Stegostoma tigrinum: one gene and its partner. The protein of the gene in region 1 purifies or fractionates together with the protein of each later gene. This does not show direct contact. Links are inferred from orthologs where the notes say so. Each region holds a gene or a part of one and is shown in the gene's direction. Other genes may lie near its edges.

The links. Proteins that work in one complex are often made in the same cells at the same time.
Region 2: the proteins of armc8 (region 1) and serine protease HTRA2, mitochondrial-like purify together in Homo sapiens (affinity purification with mass spectrometry; 5 studies listed by BioGRID and IntAct, with this or other methods). This does not show direct contact. The link is inferred for Stegostoma tigrinum from reciprocal best matches to the Homo sapiens genes ARMC8 and HTRA2.

What each region holds. Positions count from the first base shown.
Region 1 is NC_081360.1:29,305,350-29,313,469, forward strand, and holds the start of armc8 (armadillo repeat-containing protein 8), read left to right. Parts: upstream 1-4,725; 5' UTR 4,726-4,949; coding exon of another isoform or gene 4,950-4,956; 5' UTR 4,957-4,971; coding exon of another isoform or gene 4,972-4,980; exon of another isoform or gene 4,981-5,173; intron 5,174-5,563; exon of another isoform or gene 5,564-5,620; coding exon of another isoform or gene 5,621-5,665; intron 5,666-8,120. Other genes in the region: dbr1 (lariat debranching enzyme), read right to left, coding at 1-60, 898-1,022, 1,322-1,518. UniProt on the Homo sapiens protein: Component of the CTLH E3 ubiquitin-protein ligase complex that selectively accepts ubiquitin from UBE2H and mediates ubiquitination and subsequent proteasomal degradation of the transcription factor HBP1.
Region 2 is NC_081354.1:188,103,205-188,111,368, forward strand, and holds the start of serine protease HTRA2, mitochondrial-like, read left to right. Parts: upstream 1-4,908; 5' UTR 4,909-4,925; coding exon 4,926-5,323; intron 5,324-8,110; coding exon 8,111-8,164.

The sequences.
Region 1 (8,120 bases):
TAAAAATACCAGAGAGTCCTCCGATGCGTATACCACGGTAATTTACCACACCAGCATACCCTCGAAACAAATAACATATGTTACTCTAAATACACATTTTGAATAAGCCTACATGCAGTAAGTCACACATTCTTTAGCATTTATTTGCTATAAACAAAATCAGCCAGTTCTCTTAAATTGTCGCTGTGTTACTATACAATTGCTTTTTCACTTTAGGCAGAATCATTGACAAATATAAGGCAAGAGAAACTATATTCATATTGACTCTGCATAACTCGTTTTTAAAAAAAAAAATTCACCGAGTGAGGGAGTTGCTGGCTAGGCAGTGTTTATTGCCCATCCCTAGTTGTGCACATTGCAGTTTCTTTCCCTACAGCACTTTAGTGAACATTATGGATTTTTCCAACAATTGACAATGGAGTCACGGTCATCATTAGACTCTTAATTCCAAAATTCCACCATCTGCCTTGGCACAATTCAAACCTGGGCCCTCAAAACGTTATCTGGGTCTCTGGATTAACAGTCCAGCAGTAATATCACTAGGCCATTGTCTAGTGTCATGTGTTAGATGATGCAAACCATGTTGTCCTTCTAAACTCCCCCTCTATCACATGCACAATGACCCTGAAATGTTGACAACTCCATACTGACAATTTTATTCATCATTTTCAGAATATATACTGAGCACTGTCAAAGATATTTCCTAGATAAATGGACAACTTTAAAATTGAGACATGACAAAGACTTGCTTCCATCTTCCCAAATAAAGCATATGATCAAATATCTTCAGCAAAATTAAGAAACAATTAATTCTGTCATCAGACAACACATTGATCTTGAGGCCTGACATTGTAATACATATGTATTCACTACATAAAAACGTGAGAGATTTAATACCTAAGTAGTAAATGTTTGGTGCCACCCATCCTCCATAAGGCAACTCCTGTAAGTGATTAGAGGCTTCGTGATTGCCTCCTATGAAGATGGTAAGAACAGGGGCTTTCTTTTCTCCAGAGTAATATCTACATGTAACAATTCAACAAATAGCATTTAACTTCACAAATAGCTCACTTCGAGACAAAACTTCAATTGTAATTTACTGGTGTGTACTTCTCATTAGGTATAAAAACTCTACATGGAAATTTTAAAAGACATTTTATATTACAAACAGTAACAAATGCAAATGCTTAAATAGCAAGCATTTGAATACAATAGCTTATACGAGAGAATCAATCTTATAAACAAAAATGAGTGCTTAATTTAGAAAAGGACAAAGTAACAAGGTGATACAAAAAAAGAACAACCTTGAACACCTACTTACTTGTAGAAAGTTTGCATTTGTCTGTATTTAACGGGTACAGCCATGCAAATCATGTCAGCTTCATTCCTGACTGCTTGAAAATCTCCACAGCACAACAAGAGGTCCACCTTAACATTGTCCTTTTTCTCCAAAAACTGAATACTCTCATAGATTTTGTCCAGTTCACCATGGCAGCAACCTTCTACTGCTACCTTCATTGTAACAGTGTGCAAGAGCTTGCACTACAAGTTCCAATGAGCTGGGTGTCTTTAGGAGCAATCTCCCTTCCTGGGCCCTATTTAAGCACGCTCATGTCTCAGTGTACTGACCCAATTAAACTATCATAGATTCTGAAATTAAAGAAAGGGCAATATTTATTAATTACTGAAGTTAAATTTACAGATACACACAAAACACAGCTTTTTATTTACTTGCAGGCTGTTAAATAGTCATAAGGAGACTCAAAAAAGGAACGTTCATATACACTGAATTTTCAAAGACCATTTGACAATGGAATTGACAGGTAAAGTATGACTGCTTCAATTCAAGCAATGAACTACTTATAACTGTCAATGTCCTATTAGGCCTGGATTCTGAATCAAACTATTACAACATATTTTTTAAATTATCACTGTTAGCTTAATAACTCACCAGAATGGCAAAATAGCAAAACATGCCTATTCCTACAAACTATAAACAATATGATAAACAGTTTCTCTGAAAATATTTTGTATGAAATAACAATCAGACATTAATGAATTACAGATACTAAAAACTTAATCCTATCAAACAAGAATACATTCATAGACTTAAGTTTGGGGGTAAAAGTTTAAATTCTTATTCAGTTCACTATTTCAAAGCATGGCAATCTGAATAACACAAATTGCATCTGTAAATGGTAGCATTTAGTTTAAAAAAAACTGCAATTAGATGTATTTTAGGTTCAAGCCTGAGATGCTAAATCCAGGTCACTAACAAAGCATATCAACATCTCTACTGAATTTACCAATCCCTACTTCAGAGGCATACTTCTGAAAGGCAGTTATGTTAAAACAGGATTATACTTAGTCATGTTCAGCTTGTGATGAACTACACAATCTGACAGACAATAAAGGTAAAGTCACCATAGTCCGACAGGACTATAGAGCTGCTCTCTCAGACAGACATACAACCTGTAGTGAGTTTAACCTGAGGGTAACCAAACTGCAGCAAGGTTAAGGGGCATCATTCATGGTGACCGCAGCTGGCACAGGAATTGAACTGTTGAACACTGCTGGCATCATCCCAGATTGCAAAACAGCCATCCAGCCAACTGAGCTAACCAACTCCTGACAGCCAATAACAAGGAATCATCACAAGGGAATGTCTCACACTCGGACAACCAACTCACAAACCTTAAACATTAGAGACAACGCCCTGCCTGCTAATGTTGTTAACTCAGCCACATTAGGGGCATTTAAACAGACCTTGGATAAGCAGATGGATGATGATGGGATAGTGTAGGGGGATGGGCTTGGATTGGTTCACAGGTCGGCGCAACATCGAGGGCCGAAGACCCTGTTCTGTGCTGTATTGTTCTATGTTCTAAAAAAGATGTGAAGAGGATAAACAATAACTATATCCAACAAGCTTTATAGGAACTCTGAGCAAAAATCTTACCATGTTTTCAAAAAACCCCACAAATTTAAACTGTTAATATTAAACATCAACTGCAGTAGTACCCCCACTATCACTAAATCCTGCTATTTGAACATGGAGGGATGACTAATTTCTAATTTTTACTCCAAGTTTTTTTGTGACAGGGAACGTTATAATCTAGATGATTCATTTAATCAATTTTTTCAATTATGTTAAATCTGTCTGATCAAATTCTAAAAATTGAGATACTGGCAAAAATAAAAAGGTGATCCTTACAATTGTTTTTTAAAAAAGAGAAAATCTCATCTTTCTCCCATTAACAGCACTGTCAGAAGTTATTCAGAGAACTAGCTGCTGCCAAGTGCTATTCTGAAATAGCAACTCATCAGGTGCATTTCTGCTGGAAATGCAAGCAATTTGACTTGGGATTCACAATCCAGCCTAATCATTAATACTTGGCACTTGCATGCAAACTTTCTGCAATCAAGATCAAGGACTCTAGCCAACTGTTTAGCCCACAGGACCTTAAGCCAATGCGACAAATAACCTAGAGAGTTAAGCAAACAGTCGTCTTATCTGTCCATCTCAGAAGTACATTGAATGAATCATCAGCTGAATTTAATAAAGGCTTTCAACAGGGACTGGAAATTAGAGAATTTGTTGGGTAAACAAAAGGCCAGTGGCAGATGTAAAACATTGCGCACCCTGGGCCTAATTCAATGATCTAAGGTTATTGTTAAAGCGAACACGGATGAAGAATTTTCAGTGAATTTAAAATCTACCTTTCCTGACTTTCCAAACAAAAAGAAACAGAAAATGCAGCAGTTAACACAAAGCTTTTGATTCATTTGAAACAATTCAAATTATTGACCAGCATTATTTCACTCAAAAATAAGGTCACTGGGATTCATCACCACCTCAATACATTAAAATAAGTGTCAATATCAACAGCAAACGCATAAATAAAATGCTACTCTACGTCCAGGCCAGCTCCCTCGGGAAATCGCGTCAGAACCATTGATTTAATACCAGAAGTCAATGAGACAGATGACAATACAACACTGTTGTGTGCATAATTATTCTCAGGCCTGTAAATATCAGGGAGCCATCAGGTGGTTTTCAAGGAGAGTTCACTGAAATATATAGCGACGCAGCGACTAATATCTTATTCGAAACCAAGCCCAGCACTTTTTTTAAAAATGATACATTCTCCCAGTCTTTGTGGAACCTCGTCGGCCCTCCCTTCGGACAGATTACGGGCGTGGAAGCAGAGGTGAGCCATTTGACTACTGGGACTGGGACTGGGACTGGGGCGGGGGGGGAAGATTTGCTTTTTTTGAGAAACAAAAGCAGAAATTGTTGGCAAAGCTCAGGAGGTCTGAGGAAGAGTCACCGAGGGCCGAAACGTTAACTCCTGACTTACCGCCAGACCTCCGGAGCTTTTGCGGCACTTTCTGCGTTTGACTCCGATGTTTTGAGGCCGGGCTTCACTCGCGCCCGCGATCTATCTCCCCCTGCCCCTCCCCCGGCAACCCCGGGCTGGACGGTAACGGGGAGGGAGTGAGAGAGAGAGAGAGGGGCCCTCGGTGGCGGGTACTGAAAAAGCCTGTTCCTCCCTCAGTCAGGCCTCGAGGGCGCCCATCAGGAGGTACACTCCGACTCAGTCCGCCGCTTCCTACCTGCCCTCCCTCGGGACAGATGGATGGGTGGCGGACGCTATAAACCGCACTCGAGAAGCCCCTACCGGACAGCCGCCCGCACGGTGCCAGCGCGCATGCGCCACCCGTGCCCTACGCCTCCTCCCCCTCACCCACACAAACCCTCCGTTAAAGTAAACTCAGCACCGGGAGCGCCGCAACATTCAACACTTTTTTTACTCGAAACGGGAAACAGAAGACAGAGAAAAAAAGTCAGCAAAACAAAAAAAAACCTTCCGAAAATCGACCGGCGAAATAAACATCCACGACCAGAACAAACAAACTTGTTAAATAATCTCAAAACCATCACTTACAGCTCATCCGAATCTGCTGGCAATGGATAAGGTAAATGTAAATCGTTCCAAGCCTCACTTTCAACTAAGTTGATGTTTGGGTAAATTTAAAAAAAACAAAATCTGTAAAAAGAGCTAGTGGCCGGGCAAGGCTGCAACGTCTGTCATGTAAAGGCCTGGTAGAAAGTACGGCTATAGTCGTGCGGCTGCGCAATGCAGTGTTGCTGGGCCCGGACGGAAAGGGAAGGAGCAGGGGCGGGGCCGGTATCCGTTGGAGCGGGTGGGGCTAGCGGAAGTGCGTGAGGCTGGGATCTACTGTGAGGGTGTGCCAGGGACGGGTCTGGTGGGAGGGTTCGGGATTTTTTTGAAACGGGTGGAACTGGGAATCTGGTGGGAGGGTCAGGGGTCTGATGGGCGGGGCCAGGAGCTGAAGGGAGGAGGCAGGAAGGGTGCGGGGCGAGGGCCGAGAGCTGAGAAGTAGGGGCCCAGGCGAGGGGGCGGGGTCAGTGGGTGGGGCCGGGAGAAGTGGGCAGGACTGTGGGCGGGGCTAGGCAGGGCGGAGAGTGCAAGTTCTGTACGGGTACAGCCGAAAGGGGCGGTCTGTGGGCGGAGCCGAGAGGAGGGGGCAGGGCTAGGGACGGGTCTGGGCGTGAGGGGGCGGGGCTTGAGCCGCGGTGCTGCCGCTGCGGAAGATGGCGTGTCTGCTGGAGGCCCCAATGCGGATGAGTGTGCTTTCGGTGAGTATGTGATCGTCCGTTCGCATCGACTCGGCCTTCTTTAGGCCTAGATTGGGCTGTGATCTCTAAGTGGATGGTCGACATGGTCTGGTGTGGGAGGTGGGCGGTGTTTCCATGCCCCTGCAGCTCCTGTGTTTTAATGTTAGACCTCCGGGAATAGAGCTGCAGGTTTGGGCCTGAGAGTTGCTGTAAACCTGCCTCCTTTAAAATATAAATCGCTAGCTTCCATGCATCCCTCTGACCGTTTAATATTCGATACGCAATCGTATAAAATTGGATGCATTTAATTACACATTGTGCCTTTGTTTTAAACTTTGTGTTAAAATCTAATTGGGTTCAAAGCGGACATGTTTATTAATACCGTATCCATGTTTACACTTGCTATTCGGCACTGGCCATTCCCTTAAATCGCAATTTCTTTAATTCAGAAACGAGCAACTGATAAGAGTAGGAATAGTCATGTGCGACCCAGAAGGAGGAGGCCATTTGGCCCGTCCAGTTCATGCAGGCTACCTGGAACAATCCAGTCAGTTCTGTTCACCTGGTCCTGCAAGTTTATTTTACTTTAATGCCAATGAATTCCAGTTTGATATCATTTATTGTCTCTGCATCCGACACTTCTAGGCAGCAAGAACCAACTCTTCACGACTAGTGCGTTAAAAAAGTCCTTCCTCACATCCCAGAAAAAAAAGTTCTTCTAATTGTGTAAATATGTGCAAATGAATTGGGATGGATAGTGATTATTTCCTGCATCCATTGCCACTTCTAAGTTCAAAGATCTTTATTAGCTGCCTGAAAATGCTTCACTGCCCAGAAATCTGCACATTACAGGCTGACTTAAACGTTGAAATTAAATTTATGTAGGAACAGAACTATTTGTTGAGAATCCAAGTAATAAGAATAAAAAAATGAAAATGATAATTGTGCATCAATGGTTGAACTCTTGCTTCTGAATCGAGTGTTACACTGTTGGAAATGCTGAAGATAGTTTTGGAGTTTCCTCTGAGGTGGGACAAAAGGATCCAGTATACTGAAGGAAAAGCATAGAGCACTTCTCCTTGATATCTAGACTAATGTTTATCTGACCTGAATCAGGTTTTCTGTGACAAAGGCAAAGGCAATCTGTTCCTCCTTGTTCTTCTCAACTGACCTGCAGCCTTGAACACAATACAATACATCACATCACCCACTACTTCTATCCACCACCTCCTCTCTCCCCCTGTTTATTTCAGAATCTCGTCCCACTTCCCCATTTCTTAAGAAGGGTCTAGGCCCAAAACGTCAGCTTTCCTGCTCCTGTGATGCTGCTTGGTCTGCTGTGTGTGTTCATTCAGCTCTACACCTTGTTATCTCAGATTCTCCAGCGTCTGCAGTTCCTACTATCTCTGAAACACCTTCCAGTGTCTTACCACTCTCCGTAGCGCGACAGGACTATACTCACATGGTTTCAGAGAATCAGCTCTCTGTTGTCAGAGAATTACTATCGTTATCTTCTCTTCATTTTTCTGCACAGTCACCTCTGTTGCCCATCTCTCCCTCTTCCTCTCTTTTTCATCCCCCAAAGGAATTTATCTTTGATTCACTTTTAATTTTCATTTGCACGCTATCTCAACAGAAACATCCAAAACTATATCAGTTTACATAAGTGTACACGGATAATGCCAATTTCTATGTCACCAGCATCTCTGTAAATTGTCAGACTGCATATTCATATGTAGCACCAGACAAGGAGATGTCTTCTCCCATTAAATATTGGAGACAATTAAGTAATTGGCTGTCTTTGAGTGATGCTATAAACTCCCTTTCCTAACCACTACCCTGTTTGTTTGAGGTTTAACTTTGCAACTTTGTTGTAGGTAGCCACAAAATGATCTGTCAGGTGCACAACTGCCATCGTTAAGGCTGCAACTTCTGTTTACATAACATCATCTAATGCCTCACTTTGGCTCCTCCACTGCTAATACTGTCATCCATATGTTTATTGCCTTTATTTAAAATTCTTATCCTTGTTTTCAAACTCTTTAATGTCTTAACCTCCTATGTCTGTAATCCTCCCAGCCTCCCAGAGATATCTGTGCTTCACTAATTTTGGTTTGTAGCACATCCTCAAGTTTATTTGCTTTGTATTTGTGTTTATGCTCATACCCTCAGCAGTTGAATTCATTATTGAGCCATCACAGACACGACATCTTCTGTATTGTGACCATTCTGTAGTTTTCAACCTCTCTATCTCATTTTCCATCTCTTATGGCATTCCTTAAGATCCACCTCATCAACCAAGACTTTGGTCATCTTTCCAATGTCACCTTAAGCCCATAAGATATAGGAGCAGAGTTCAGCAATTTGACCCATGAGTTTGTTCTGCCTCTGTCATGGCTGCTGTGTGTTTCAACCCCATTCTCCTGCCCTCTCCACTTACTATCCCTGTTAATCTAGAACCTATCTATCTCTGCCT
Region 2 (8,164 bases), on another chromosome or scaffold:
ACTTCCTGAAAGCCCAAGCATACAACATTCACAGCACCACCTGAAATAACCCCACTCAGGCTGGTAGCACACCACCGAGTCGCCCTTTATTTACACATGCACAGTACCTAACATTGAGCAAGCTTCCTCAGAAGTGCTGATATTCCTGATTATATCTGTCAGCCCGGGCTCCCTGATTGGACCAGATTAACAACCCCAATCAGGGAAACTCATGTTCTATGAGGCTGATCTCATTACAATTATGACACTATCTCTATCCATTTCGTGTCTCACCTTATCAAACAATGCTAAATAAATTTGTCAGACAATAGCCTGCCCTTGACGAGCCCATGTTGACGGTCTGGCATTAACTTATATTTACATTCTCCACTACAGTGGGCTCCCACCAGTTTTCCACTCTGTAGTTCCCACATTATCCTTTGTCTCTTTCCTAAACAACTATGTCATGTTTGCAATGCTCCAGTCCCACAGGACTAATCCTGGGTCCACAGACGATCGGAAAATTTCCATCAATTGCTCTGTAATTTGCTCCCTTGACTCTCTCAACAATCTAGGATCCCATCTGGGCCGGGTGCCTTGGCTGTCTGGGCTCCTGCCAGACTTGTTAGAAACACTTGCTGGTCTATCACTAAACTGCTCAGAGATAACGGGAACTGCAGATGCTAGAGAATCCAAGATAATAAAACGTGAGGCTGGATGAACACAGAAGGCCCAGCAGCATCTCAGGAGCACAAAAGCTGACGTTTCGGGCCTAGACCCTTCACCAGATCCTAGACCCTTCTGCTCCTAAGATGCTGCTTGGCCTGCTGTGTTCATCCAGCTCCACACTATACTGCTGAGTTGCTCAATGTTCACATTTATAACTTGGCCATTGTCACCATCTTTTGATTTGGTAAAGACAGAAGCAAAGTACACACTTAGTAACTCTATCTTACCCTTTACTTCATTGAGTAACTCACCCTCCTTGTTCCTCATAGGTCCAACCCTATCCTTCACTAATCTTTCACTATTAATATGCTTGAAGAACACATTACTATTTGTTTTAGTTCCATTCTTACTTACTCTCAGGCCTCCTTATTCCAGCCTTAGCTGGTTCACGTCATATTTGTCAGCCCAGCACCCCATTTTGTCGCATGTGAACACAGACAGCTTCACTATCTGAGAATTCACGACTGGTGCTGAACATTTTGCAACCTTATGATGAAGGAAGGTCTTTGATGTGGCGGCTGAAGATGGTTGGGCCTGAGACTCTACCCTGAGGAACTCCTGCAGAGATGTCCTGGGGCTGAGATGATTGACCTCCCACAACCACAACCAGATTCCTATGAGTCAGGTATGACTCCCCAAGGCACGGGCATGATGCAAAACTCCCCACTGACTGAGACCGAAGAACGCGTAAGAAACACGACTCCAAAAGCCTGATTGGCATCATATTCAACATTCACTCCCTCCACCATTGATGCAGTTAGGCAGCATCTTGGACAGATTCTTAATGTGTAAGGGAATTGAGGATTACAGGAAATGGTACCAAAGTGGGGTTCAGAATTATCAGATCGGCCATGATCTCATTTAATGGGGGGAGCAGACTCGATGGGCTGAATGGCTCCTATCTCTTATCATATGGTCAGTGTGCAAGATGCACTGCAGCAATTTACCCAAGATGGACAGCACCTTCCAAACCCATGACCACTTCAGTCTAGATGGACAAGGGTAGCAAATACATGGGAACACCATTCCCTTCAAGTTCCCTTCCAAGCCTCTCACCATCCTGACTGACAGTCATAGAGCCGAACAGCAAAGAAGCCAGTCCAAACCATCTGTGCCAACTAGACATCTCAATGTGACCCTGTTCCATTTGCCAGCATTTGGCCCATATCCGTCTACACCCTTCCTGTTCATGTCTCCATCCAGATGCCTTTTAAATGTTGTAACTGTACCAGCCTCCACCACTTCCTCTGGCAGCTCATTCCATACACGCACCACCGTCTGCGTGAAAATGTTGCCCCTTTTAAATCCTTCCCCTCTACGTTAAACCTATGCCCCTCTGGTTTTGAACTCCCCCCCCTACCCTGGGGGAAAGAGGTTGTCTATTCACCCTGTCCATGCCCCGGGGAAATATATCACCGTTCCTTCACTGTCACTGAGACAAAATCCTGGAAATCCCCCCCAACAAGGGCAGGGGGACTGCAGGTCATCAAGAAGGCAGCTCACATTCACTACCTTCTCACGGGGCAACTAGGCACAGGGCAATAAATGGTCCCACAGATGATGATGCTCATATTGTGTGAGGGAATAAAAAATAATTTTACTCCAAGTGGGGGTGTTGGTTTGGAAAGTGAAAGACGTGGGACCAGTGATCCATTGTCTCCTCTGCCTAACCCTGTTATCCTATAACCCTGACCCTGTTATCCTATAACCCTGACCCTGTTACCCTATTACCCCGACCCTGTTACCCTATTACCCTGACCCGGTTACCCTATCACCCTGACCCTGTTACCCTATCACCCTGACCCTGTTACCCTATTACCCTGACCCTGTTATCCTATTACCCTGACCCTGTTACCCTATTACCCTGACCCTGTTATCCTATAACCCTGACCCTGTTACTCTATCACCCTGACCCTGTTACCCTATTACCCTGACCCTGTTACCCTATTACCCTGACCCTGCTACCCTATCACCCTAACCCTGTTGCCCTATTACCCTGACCCTGTTACCCTATAACCCTAACCCTGTTACCCTATCACCCTAGCCCTACCACCCTATCACCCTAACCCTGTTACCCTATTACTCTGACCCTGTTACCCTATCACCCTGACCCGGTTATCCTATCACCCTGATCCTGTTACCCTAACCCTGCTATCCTATCACCCTAACCCTGTTGCCCTATTACCCTGACCCTGTTACCCTATTACCCTAACCCTGCTACCCTATCACCCTAACCCTACCACCCTATCACCCTAACCCTGTTGCCCTATTACCGTGACTCTGTTACCCTATAACCCTAACCCTGTTACCCTATCACCTTAACCCTATTATCCTGACCCTGTTACCCTGACCCTGTTACCCTATTACCCTAACCGTGCTACCCTATCACCCTAACCCTATCACCCTAACCCTGTTGCCCTATTACCCTGACCCTGTTACCCTATAACCCTAACCCTGTTACCCTATCACCTTAACCCTGTTACCCTGACCCTGTTACCCTATCACCCTAACCCTGCTACCCTATCACCCTAACCCTACCACCCTATCACCCTAACCCTGTTGCCCTATTACCCTGACTCTGTTACCCTATAACCCTAACCCTGTTACCCTATCACCTTAACCCTATCACCTAACCCTGTGGCCCTATTACCCTGACCCTGTTACCCTATAACCCTAACCCTGTTACCCTATAGCCTTAACCCTATTACCCTGACCCTGTTACCCTATAACCCTAACCCTGTTACCCTATAGCCTTAACCCTATTACCCTGACCCTGTTACCCTATAACCCTAACCCTGTTACCCTATAGCCTTAACCCTATTACCCTGACCCTGTTACCCTATAACCCTAACCCTGTTACCCTATTACCCTGACCCTGTTATCCTATTACCCTGACCCTGTTACCCTATTACCCTGACCCTGTTATCCTATAACCCTGACCCTGTTACCCTATCACCCTGACCCTGTTACCCTATTACCCTGACCCTGTTACCCTATTACCCTGACCCTGCTACCCTATCACCCTAACCCTGTTGCCCTATTACCCTGACCCTGTTACCCTATAACCCTAACCCTGTTACCCTATCACCCTAGCCCTACCACCCTATCACCCTAACCCTGTTACCCTATTACCCTGACCCTGTTACCCTATCACCCTGACCCGGTTATCCTATCACCCTGATCCTGTTACCCTAACCCTGCTATCCTATCACCCTAACCCTGTTGCCCTATTACCCTGACCCTGTTACCCTATTACCCTAACCCTGCTACCCTATCACCCTAACCCTACCACCCTATCACCCTAACCCTGTTGCCCTATTACCGTGACTCTGTTACCCTATAACCCTAACCCTGTTACCCTATCACCTTAACCCTATTATCCTGACCCTGTTACCCTGACCCTGTTACCCTATCACCCTAACCGTGCTACCCTATCACCCTAACCCTATCACCCTAACCCTGTTGCCCTATTACCCTGACCCTGTTACCCTATAACCCTAACCCTGTTACCCTATCACCTTAACCCTGTTACCCTGACCCTGTTACCCTATCACCCTAACCCTGCTACCCTATCACCCTAACCCTACCACCCTATCACCCTAACCCTGTTGCCCTATTACCCTGACTCTGTTACCCTATAACCCTAACCCTGTTACCCTATCACCTTAACCCTATCACCTAACCCTGTGGCCCTATTACCCTGACCCTGTTACCCTATAACCCTAACCCTGTTACCCTATAGCCTTAACCCTATTACCCTGACCCTGTTACCCTATAACCCTAACCCTGTTACCCTATAGCCTTAACCCTATTACCCTGACCCTGTTACCCTATAACCCTAACCCTGTTACCCTATAGCCTTAACCCTATGACCCTGACCCTGTTACCCTATAACCCTAACCCTGTTACCCTATAGCCTTAACCCTATGACCCTGACCCTGTTACCCTATAACCCTAACCCTGTTACCCTATAGCCTTAACCCTATTACCCTGACCCTGTTACCCTATAACCCTAACCCTGTTACCCTATTAACCTGACCCTATTACCCTATGACCCTGACCCTGTTACCCTAATACCCTGACCCCATTGCCATATAACCTTAACCCTATTACCCTGACCCTGTTACCCTATCACCCTCACTCTATTACCCTGACCCTGTTGCCCTTTGACCCTTCACCTCCACACGGTGTTAATAAAGTTGCTTCTTGTTTCCAAGATGGCGGCGCCCATTGCCCGCTCTCTCCGCTGGTTCGGGCCCGGGCTCCGGGCCTTGGGGACGGGCCGCGGGGGGCAGCCCGGGCTCCGTGCACTGGCGTGTGGGCTCAGGCCCTGGGCCGATGGCGAGGAGCCCGGTGCAGGCTCTAACTCCAAAACCTGGTGGGGCCTGGGCCCCGGGGCGCTGCTGCTGCTACTGTGGCGGGATCGGGAGCGGGAGGCCGAGGCCCGCACAGAGCCCAGGCCGCCCTCACGCCTCGGGCTCCCCGCGCTGTTTCTCCCCCAGGTACAGGCCGCTCGGCCCGTTCCCCCAGACAGTCCCCGCTTCAAGTTCAACTTCATCGCGGATGTGGTGGAGAAAACAGGCCCCGCCGTGGTTTACATCGAGATCCTGGGGAGGTAATTACCGGGGGTGGGGGGGGTGTGGATATGGGGGTCAGAGAGGGTTTGCAGGAGGCATGGGGGGGGTATTAGGGTCAGAGAGGGTGCGTTGGGGGGATATGGGGGTCAGAGAGGGTTTGCAGGAGGCATGGGGGGGGTATTAGGGTCAGAGAGGGTGCGTTGGGGGGATATGGGGGTCAGAGAGGGTTTGCAGGAGGCATGGGGGGGGTATTAGGGTCAGAGAGGGTGCGTTGGGGGGATATGGGGGTCAGAGAGGGTTTGCAGGAGGCATGGGGGGGGTATTAGGGTCAGAGAGGGTGCGTTGGGGGGATATGGGGGTCAGAGAGGGTTTGCAGGAGGCATGGGGGGGGTATTAGGGTCAGAGAGGGTGCGTTGGGGGGATATGGGGGTCAGAGAGGGTTTGCAGGAGGCATGGGGGGGGTATTAGGGTCAGAGAGGGTGCGTTGGGGGGATATGGGGGTCAGAGAGGGTTTGCAGGAGGCATGGGGGAGGTATTAGGGTCAGAGAGGGTGCGTTGGGGGAATATGGGGCATGGGGTTTAGAGAGGGGTATTTGGGGGATATTAGGGCATCGGGGTGATTGTGTACGGGGGATGGGGGAGTGTGGGTTTCGTATGTGGGTTAGAGAGGTTTTGCGGGGGAACATGTGGGGCTCGGAGGGGGAGCGCGGGGGGTAGGACGGGCCTCTCAGAGGGTGTGCAGGGTGGAGGAGTATGGGGGTCAGGGAGGGTGCACGGGGGGAATATGTGGGGGCGCAAGGGGGAGGATGGGGGTCAGAGAGGGTGTGCAGGCGGGTACTGGGGTCAGAGAGGGTGTGCAGAGGGATATATGGAGGTCGGAGGGGGAGTGCAGGGGGGAGGACGCGACTCTGAGAGGACGTTGGGGGGATGAGTCCGGGAGTTGGGGAGGGTGTGCAGAGGGATATATGGGGGTTAGAGACATGTGTCTGTGGGGATATTGCGGCGGTTAAGAAGGCCTGCGGGGTGACTTGGGGTATAAGAGGGTCCTCCAAGCTGATGTGGCGGGGGTGGTGGTGTGGAGAGAGAGAGTCTGCAGGGGCTTATTGAGATATTTACTTGCGGGGGCGGGGGGGGGGCCGGCGGAATCGCTTGGCAGGTGAATTACAAAATGGGAAAATGTGACGTTGTGCGGTTTGGCCGGGGGGATAAGGAGCTGAATACCACTTAAATGGAAAAACACATTTGGAGGTGCTGAGAGAACAACAAACATACCAGGGAGATTAGTCCCCGGAAGCTGAGCACAGGGTTCAGGGCATTTCAGGACAAGGGCGTCGTCGTCTTATGAGGACATGAGGGCCCTTGTTTTACACCGTGAATGGTTTGTGTGTGAAATAAGCTGCCAGAGAAAGTGGTGAATGTGGATACAATTACAACATGTAAAAGACATTTCGATAAGTTCATGAATAGGGAAGGTTTGGTGGGATACGGGCCGGGGCAGGCAGGTGGGACTGGTTTAGTTTGAGATTATGTTCGGCATGGCGTGGTTGGGCCCCAGAGCCTGTTTCCGTGCTGTATGTATCTCAGGACATTGTGGGCAGCTGGGGGAGAAATTGCTGGGCCCCTGGCAGAGATATTTATATCTTTAACAGTCATGGGTGAGGTGCCAGGAGACTGGAGGGTGTTAACAGTGTACTGTGATTTAAGTAAAGATGCAATGAAAAGCCAGAGAACCAGTGAGCCTGGCATCAGTTGTTGAAGGGGATCCTGAGGAACAGGATTTACAGTATTTCGAAAAGCAAGGACTGATCAGGGAAGGCGAGCATGGCTTTGAGTGTGAGCAATTATCTCTCTCAAACTTGAAAGGGTATTTGGGAACCTGAGGGGCACCTTTTTGTACACAGGGGGTGGTACGCATATGGAATGGGCTGGCAGCGGAAGTGGGTGAGACGGGTACATTAACAACATTTGGCAGGCATTTGGACAAACACATGGGCAGGAAAGGCTTAGAAAGGTCTAGTGCAGGGAAATGGGGTTAGCGTGGATAGACTTTTACGTTGGCATGGGCCAGTTTGGGCCAAAGGGCCTGTCTCTGTGCTGCGGGACCCTCTGTCTGTAAGTTGGACTGGTTCGGTTTAAGAAGGCTGGTCAGCATGGAGGAGTTTCACAGAAGGGCCTGTCTCTGTGCTGTATGCCGCTGACTGTAAGATAGGCTATAGAACAGAGCAGCAACAGGGACTGTTCTGTGTTATGAGGTTGTGTGTATACTCACTGGAATTTAGGTGAGTGCGAGGCAAATATGCAAGATTGCTCAAGGACTCGACAGCGTAGATGTGGAAAGGTTGGTTCCCCTTGGGGAGGGTCTGGGACCCGACGGTGTCGTTGCAGAATAAATAGTTGCACGTTTAAGACAGAATTTCTTGTGAAGGTAGTGAATCTGTGGAATTCTTAACCGTAGATGGCTGTTGAGCTTGGGTCATGAAGTACATTCCAGCTGAGATGGACAGATGGTTGATCAGTGAGGGAGTCAAGGGGTGGGGGGTAAAGGGAGGAAGGTGGGGGTGAGGATTATCAGAACAGCCATGATCTCATTGAGTGGTGGAGCAGACTCAGTGGGCTGAATGGCCTATCTTATGGTTGAGAAGGAGAGGAAAGGGGCTTAGTTGATGTATGATGGGTCTGAAGGGAGTAAGATTGAGTGATTGAGGAGCAGGGAAGGTTAGGGGGAGGGTGGTGGAGAGATTGCTCCTTTGGGATGGAGTGAATCTGACCAGAGAATGGGAGGATTGCCGTACCAGACCCTGTAAGGCGATCTCCTTCCTCCCCAGGCACCCGTTCAGTGGCCGGGAAATGCCAATTTCCAATGGCTCGGGTTTTGCTGT